Linked DNA regions of Daphnia pulex. The protein of the gene in region 2 purifies or fractionates together with the protein of the main gene of each other region. This does not show direct contact. Links are inferred from orthologs where the notes say so. Each region holds a gene or a part of one and is shown on either strand. Other genes may lie near its edges.

The links. The genes of interacting proteins can lie anywhere in the genome.
Region 1: the proteins of potassium voltage-gated channel protein Shaker-like (region 2) and protein quiver-like purify together in Drosophila melanogaster (affinity purification with western blotting, with the first as the bait; 3 studies listed by BioGRID). This does not show direct contact. The link is inferred for Daphnia pulex from reciprocal best matches to the Drosophila melanogaster genes Sh and qvr.

Annotation. Positions count from the first base shown.
Region 1 is NC_060028.1:9,728,236-9,732,320, reverse strand, and holds protein quiver-like, read right to left. Parts: upstream 2,800-4,085; 5' UTR 2,206-2,799; coding exon 2,151-2,205; intron 1,715-2,150; coding exon 1,670-1,714; intron 1,605-1,669; coding exon 1,452-1,604; intron 1,374-1,451; coding exon 1,159-1,373; 3' UTR 582-1,158; downstream 1-581. Other genes in the region: carnosine N-methyltransferase-like, read left to right, coding at 3,108-3,190, 3,253-3,451, 3,522-3,682, 3,752-3,892, 3,951-4,085.
Region 2 is NC_060026.1:6,145,345-6,149,504, reverse strand, and holds the start of potassium voltage-gated channel protein Shaker-like, read right to left. Parts: upstream 2,951-4,160; 5' UTR 2,323-2,950; coding exon 2,210-2,322; intron 1-2,209.

The sequences.
Region 1 (4,085 bases), on a different chromosome or scaffold from region 2:
ATTTGGTGTGGGGTTATTATTGTTTTTTTTTTCTCTTTCCCAATTATGTTTGTGTGTAGTATTTCCCCACGGCTCCTCCATCATCAGAAAAAAAAGGACAATTTTTCTTTTTCGTAGTAGAATTTCATTCCTCTATTTACCCCACCTTTTTTTTTTTAATTTTTAAAAAAATAATGCGCGTGAGTGTTCTTTTTTTTTGTTAAACAAAAATCGCCTCCACCCCCCTTATCTCTCCAAAATTTTATTATTATAATTAATTTTCGTGGCATTTTGTGTGTAATTTGATTTTTTTTTTATTATTTTTTTAAAATTTCCTCCTTCGATCTTTTTTCAGCCTCACTTCATTTATTCAAATATCCTTCCCTCTCCCCTTCTTTTTTTTTAACTGCCGTGTTTATTATTATTAATTTTTTTTTTGGAAGGAAGATTTTTATTTATTGATATAATCCGCGATGTCTCTCTCTCTCTCTCTCATTTCTTCGAAACAAAACAAAAAAGAGAAAAAGAAAAAATCACTTGAATTAATTTGAGGCATCATTACTTACGTCTAGGCGATCGGAGAGGAATTAAGAACAACCAGGTTGATGACGTTAGCATGTATTTGGATGACGTGCCAGTTAAAATTCGGCATTTAAACGGCTAAACAACAAGGATGAAAAGAGAGATTTGAAAAATGGACAAAAAAGATTATTGACTGGATCCATTATTAACAATGGCTGCAAGGGATAACAAATCAAAGGATAGTGAATCATTCAGCTGCTGTGTGTAAACCGCCGTTCATCATCAAAAGTGGATTTGTGTGTTGACTGACAACATTTTCTCTACAGTTTGGAGGGGTTTTTATTTTCTTATCAAAAATGAGAATTGAGAGAGTTTTGAGGGGGTAGCCGACGATGACGCACACACACACAGCATAGCCATTTTTTCCGGAATTGTATGTCATCCCATTTGTCTGGATTTTTGAGCACTTAAGGCTTGATTTTTTTTTTCATTTTTTCGTGATGTTATTAGATGGCCAGGGTTGACTTATTGTGCGTGGTATTTTTCTTTGCATTCAAATTATTAATATTATTACATTGTTCATTTAAAAAGGGAGTGGGTGTGACTTAGTGCAAACAAAATGAATTGTTTTATATATTCCCGAAAAAAGCCAAAAAATCATCCGACCCGGAGTAGAAGGTGGACAGCAGCGACGAGGCCCAAATAAGCCCAGAAGAGATCGCGATGCCTTGAGATCGCCGAATTGCAAAAATCTTCCTCGCAGAAGCAAGTCATCCCCTTGCGTTTGTTACCTTCTTTCAGACAGACGTGATCGACGATGAAATAATTGACAATCAGCTGCTCCGTACACATCCGCCTCACGCGTTCCTTGGCTGAGTTTTGATTATTTTTTAAACAAATTATCATTTTCTGAATTTTGTTCAATTATTTTGATTATTAAAGTAACGTACGTGAGTAGCGATGTTCGACGATTTTAACACAACATCCTTTACAAGTTTTGAAAGGTGGGTGTTCGTGCATTGGAGCCGATTCATTGATATGTTTACAAAGCGGATTGTGGTAACTGTCGCAATCGTAGCACAAAATCGTCCGGCCGGATCGGTCTGTTTCACAAAGTTAAATTAAATTTATTTTTTAAAAATGTGTAAAATTTGTTAATAAATGATACTTATGCACTCCTCTTCGGCCGAGATGATGTTGGCCTGCAGACAAACTAAAAGAACAAAAGAGAATGAAATCCACCACGACTTGATGGATTTTTCAATCATCTCGACATTCCCCGAATAAAATTCCGGCCAATAACTTAATTTTTAAAATAATAATGCTGGCAAGGATCGTATTTTTCACGTCACGTGATAACCACAGCACCAGCCGAAAATTTTCCCCTTTCGTGAAAGCAAAAATTACAAAAAGGGAGAAAACAGGTCGTGAGTCCTTGCGAACCGCTCCTATTTATAGGCCCCTGTCCCAACTCGCTAGGAGACTAGGAGGCGCGCGCATCATCAAAAATGCTCGTGTTTATATATAGAGCTCAATTGGCGATCATCAATTTGATCACATCTTCTATAGGGGGAAGATGCAGTGAAAAGTCTCTTTAAAAAATGCTGGCTGGCCAGGATCGAAAAACAACTAAAAAGAAAACGGCAAACCCAAAGTGATGGAGAAGAAGACGGAAAGGAACCCAATCAAATTGCGATCCTGCATCGTTTGGTGTGAGCAGAAAATGCGGTCGAAGAAAAAATCCCACACACACACACATACACACACACACGGATTTTTCTTGTTTTACATGTCACAAAGGGAGAGGAGACTGCAGCACAGCAACTCGCGCGATTCTACGACATCCAAAATAACCAGCACGAATGTGTGTGTGTGTTATGTGGTTGCACCGACGGGACGACACTTCATGATTGCATCACAGACGCTCAAATACAAAGAAAATAATTCTTGTTGTTTGTTTCTCACAATGCTCTCTGCTGTTGTTTAGATGCGACTTTGTGTCTTTGTAACACACACACACACTCGTTGGTTTGTTTATGTATAGTTTTACACTGTAGATCTATCAAGACTATATAACGGCTCTATACCTGACTCAAGAGTCAAAAGCTCCGCAATGCATCAAACGCAGCCGGGACACTGCAGTCGACAAGCCCCGGCTGCAGAGAGTGCCAGAGTGCGTGTTTTACAACGGCTAAAACGTATTGAATCGATGTCGAGCGACTTCGCGTTCTGCAGCAGTTTCGTACGCGTCCTTATTCCATTGCGCATGGCAAATCTCCGAGTGTGTGTCCGGCTAATATATAACCCCTCTAGAGATCCCGTGTCACACTTGTCAATTTTTTAAATAAATGCCAATGACGAGATAATCGTGTTCTCCATTTTGATTTATTTTCTGATTTTAAAAAATAAAATAAAAATGCGATAAAAAAACATGCAGACAATAAAATGACGATGTGACAACGTTGAGCATATTTTTTGACTGCTCTTTGGAAATTTACTTGAAAAGGTTGAAAAACTTTTTAAATAGATGAGGAATAACAGAGTTTCTTGGTTGAATTTTTAGATATTTATTGTCATAATAACACGAATAGGATAGGTCATCGTTCATGATGGGGAACAACGGACCTACTGACGATGTCGAAGAGAAAGAACACTTTCAGAGAATCGTTAACGCTTTCCGTTATTACAGGTTCGATCGACGGTTTCGGCTACAGTGGTTTATTATTCGCGGTTGACATGTTTTTATCCCAGGTCTTTTTCGTTGCAACGCTTGGCCACTTCAGAAGCTTACGTCTCGTCTCTCCCCAGCCACCATCAAACTTTACTCACTAGCTATCGTTCTCACTTGGAAGACATTAGGACTTGTGTAGAGCACAACTACGAAATCATCAAACTTATCACGGCAGATGTTGCTACGCTGTTTGAAAATGTCAAACACGATGCTGGTCAAGTATGTTTTCCTTAAAATAAATAATTTTGCTTTGATTTATTTCTTTTGCCGAATGTTTGATGTTACGCAGGTCAAGTCCAAGGTTCACCCAACCATGAGTGATATGGAAAAGGTCCAATCTACACTGAAACAAATTGTAAGGGACTGGAGTAAAGATGGGGAGGAAGAAAGGTCTGCGTGCTATAACCCCATTATTGAAGAAATTGAATTAAACTTTCCACCTGCTCAGAGGTTACTATCATATTATTACAGTCTTTTAGCTGAAACAAGTTTTTCATTAATAATTATTTCCATTTGCAGGCCCTCGGAACAAGTACAAATTTTGGTTCCCGGTGCTGGACTTGGACGACTGGCGTTTGAGATAGCCAAAAGAGGTTACAGCTGTCAAGGCAATGAGTTCAGTCTCTTCATGCTGTTCGCCTCCAACTTCGTCTTGAACAAGTAGGGATGATCAACAGGATCTTTATGCATTTTGTGTTTACGCTTTTTTCCCTCTTAGATGTCAGGGGGTCGAGACTTTTCGTGTTTATCCATGGACGCAACAGTTCGTCAATACTTTATCAGCTGCTGACGTAACCAGAGGGTCTTCCTTCCCTGATCTTGATCCATCATCACTCCCACGCCATGCTCAATT
Region 2 (4,160 bases):
TTTTTCTAAAAATTAATTAATCCATTTATATTTCTTCCTCTTTCTTATTTCTGTCTCATTTTTTGCTGTTTATTTCATCCGATTTGATTTTTTTTCCATTTTTCTACTTTATACTGTAATATTGAATTAAAAAACAAAAAGCCAGCACACACTATATAATTGTTCTAGCATCTTGTTTTCCGATGTCCCTTTTTTTTGTCAATATAGGTTCGATATAAAATATTTATAACGGGAAGTTGTCAACTCGAAAAATATTCGTACACCCCCCATATTTTTAGTTAAAAAAAAAAAAAAAAAATGCGGAAAATTTAAAAATAAAAATGGGAAAAATATTTAAGAAAAAACGAAAATTCAATTCAAAAATTTAGCTTTTTGGGTTTTTTCAAGATTTTCCACAAAATTTTCCAAGAATTTTTGGAATTTGTAAAAGAAAAACTAAGTGTTGTCCCAATTGATTTGTTTATTATCAATCTTGTTGGCAATCGAGTGCTGACCAGCAACATTAATGAAAAAATAAGGATTACTTCTTAAACCCTACCGCGGACAACTAAAAAACATTTTAAACCCCTATATTTTAGTCCAAAAATAAAAAATAAAAAAAATTATTTAAAATACATTTATTTTTTATTTTTTATTCGTACACCCAAATAACAAGTCGATAACCCGATTTATAATTATTTTGTTTTTCTTCCTTTTTTATTCGTTTGAATTCCATGAAGAAGCTGAAGACAGTTTTTGATCGATGTGATTCTTTAAGGGAATAACGCTACTGTAGATAAGGCTGTATATCAGAGTAGAAATAAGTTTTCAGGTAGTCAACCGTAGTCAACAGCCAAGCCTCAACAGTGGGCTAATTTTGAAGCTGAAAAAAATCTTGAATGAAAACGCAGAGTTGTATTTTTGCATAAAAATTCTTTCGCTGCACGGTTCAAGTTACAAAATTGGAAAAAGTCGGATGTATAGATTGTAGTCAGGACAACCAACATCTGACTGAACATAGACTTAAAGCTGGCAGCCTTGCAAAACATAGTAACAGAAAGAGTGCCCCATGTTAGGAATTCTAGCAAAATAATCCAGCTACGGTTGTGTTTTACATAATATTAAATGATGCGGTTGTCAGTCATATCAGATTTGTTTCGTCTATATTGCCGAAGCAAATATAAAATTCCTTCGATTTTATTTATGAGACGCATACTGCACTTGCCCGACCTTTGTTAATATGGTGATATAAATAGGCTATACAGTGTAGAGTAGAGAAACGCAATCAATGTTTCCCTTTAAGCATAGCGTCTATTAATGGAAACAACGGTATCCAAATGATGGAAAGATTTTAACTATGGTGAGGTTTATACACTGAATTCTTGGGTTCTTAATACACGAAATTCTCTCTATGCCTAGCTAATCTAACTCATTTAAAAGTGACAAGAGTAAAGGCTGTATGTACGAATAGAAAAGGAAAAATGAGCGTGATTGTTTTTCCTGTTGAAACCTTGCTATCTGGTTCTCTCTTTTTTTATTTCTTGTCTGCGTGCGTGCTCGATCTTTTTTCGGGACCTTGTAGTTTTCGTACCGTACCTCTGAATCTGTTCGCAAGCCAAAAAAAGGATACGAGTATTTCAGAGACAGTCCTAAAATTAGCAGTTGCACTGGAAGGTGGAGGCGAGAAGAACCGAGGACATAACCACGCGTTTAAACGCACACACATGGGACAGGCGGGAAGTCTACCAAAAAGTCACCCAGAAACGAATGACTGAATCTAGATATAACCTATGATTAAAGCAATACTTTTTGTCCCTGGAACAGATTAAGGAACTCAATGATTCAATAGTTTATTTGCACTCTTCAGGTCACAACTTTGTTTTGTTTTCATTAGGCATTGTTTTGCACTTTTTTCAAGAATGCAGTTGAACTGTTATCTACGGGTTACTTATTAAACCATAAGTATCATTTATGAAACACTATGGACGTTATTGATTTTTCATTTTCCTTGTGTTTGTCGTGTTGTTGTCAGAAGGAGAGGAGAAATATATGGTAAATTTCTGATTGCAGACATAATTTAATTGACTTATCACACATATCACTTTGTATTATACAGCTATAGTGTTAAAAAATTTTATAGTTTCCTAACTAAGCTATGAGTAGGTTAACATCTTCATTTGATCATTTAAACAGGAACGCAAATTTAAAATGATTAAGTGAAACCTTTTACCTTTCACTCGCCCGTCGACATATTAGGCCTGCTAACATCTTTGTTATTGGATTTTCCGACGTTGGAACTTTGGCACCTTGGGCGCTTCCGCCCATACCGCCACTTTGCCACATGATGATGAGAATGACCTGTAGATTGATCTGTTTAATATTTCAACACGTCTTTGCGCCTTTTAATAAGGCGAAAGGTTGATCGAAGTCCATAACACTCACGCCTATTCGGCATTGAAAACTAACCGCACAATGAAACACCACACCATTGTAGACCATTGAATCGAAGAAAAAGATTTAAACAAATCAATGGTGACGAAATTAAGGTAACAAATTTGATTCGTGAAAAATCGGTATGTCATGAAGCAATTTGAAAAAAAAAATCTAACAATAGAAAGTCCACAAGTCTATTGCTAACGCACCGGGTAGGAAATGAAAACACTTCTCCCGTCTACAGCTGCCAACAACCGACTAACGAAACCCTTTTCGTTTCTTCTTGTTCAACGATTTTCAAATCTCTTTAATCAGCTGCACGAGTTGGAATGGCTCTAAGGTATGGCGGAGTCTATATAGAGCTAGATACTAGATAAGAAAAAAACAAAGAAGTATGTTTTATTTCTATTTTTTTGTAAGTCATTTGGTGGTATTTTTTCGATTGGAGGAAATAAACATCGATATCGATAAATCTATATTCTATAGCAACTTTTGCAACAACGATAACGAAATTTTTTCTCCAACTTATCGAAAAAATCTGACTTTTAATAAAAATCCCGCAATTGTTTTTTTTTTCTCTGGTGGACGATCCCGACCCCACCCCGCCCCCACCCTCACCCCCTAGCGAGCTATTCATAAACGCCATCTTCATAAGAAACTGTAGCTTTTTCTCCTAGTTCTAGAGGCATCTTCTGCGCCATCCAAACAGAAATTTTCGATTGTTAGATGCGTAGGTAGGAACTGGGAAGAATCGTATTAACAAAGGAAATTATATTTCTACAAGTTATCCTTAACTGATATAAGGGCATTGCACGATGTATACTCAAAGTCTAAGGAAGTGAAAAAAATAAAACAATAAAATAACGGTACAGTGGTTCTGACAGCAGTCCCTGACTCCCTGGCTAATCATCCAGGGGTAGTGAGTAGTTCTACATAAAAACTGAGCAAATTCAAAATTGAATACAATAAATAAACTTTTTAATGAATTCTTAGTAGTAAATTAGGTAATCGAATTTGTATGAGGAAATCAGCAGACAGTTATTACAATTTAGAGTAGCCCCCGGAAGGAGAATTCCTGCAGACTACAGGGCAATGACGATGCCAATGGTGAGAATCTGTGACCTGTGCATATTTTTGGCATTCACTTCTTTTTGCTTCCTCTCTTGTATCGTATCAACTATCAAGCTGTAAAATAGAAAAAAAAAACAGTGATATGCACGACTTGGCTGCACCGAGAGTTGGATAGGTTTGTCAATGTCAAAGGACGTTTGGTTTTCGGAATATATGCAACCCATGATGCAACCTAGATAGTTGTCTGTTGCCTCCTAAGCAGACTCTGCTCCATTTATATTGTAGAAATAGAAAAAAAAATCACCGTTAGGGGGTTTAATGTGTTGAATCAGAATGCAGCTCAAATTTTTGAATATTCCCACCAAACTGCTATCAAGTTTTAGGCTACATCATAATTCTATCTATCAAATAAGGCATGCATGAACATCACAGATTCATTCTGAATTTACGATATGTCGGTTAACTAATTCCAATTATAGGTTTTACTCAATTTAATTGTGAAAATAATTTTTTTCTTAATTTGATAAAGTACAAGCAACATTTAATATTTACATATATGTGGTGGAATGCTTGAAAGACTGCATGTCATCATTTAATGCAAAGTGATTGTCTGGTGTTCTTACCATTTATATGACATCTGAAAAATGTGTTTTTCTTTTGGCACAGCTGACAGATTA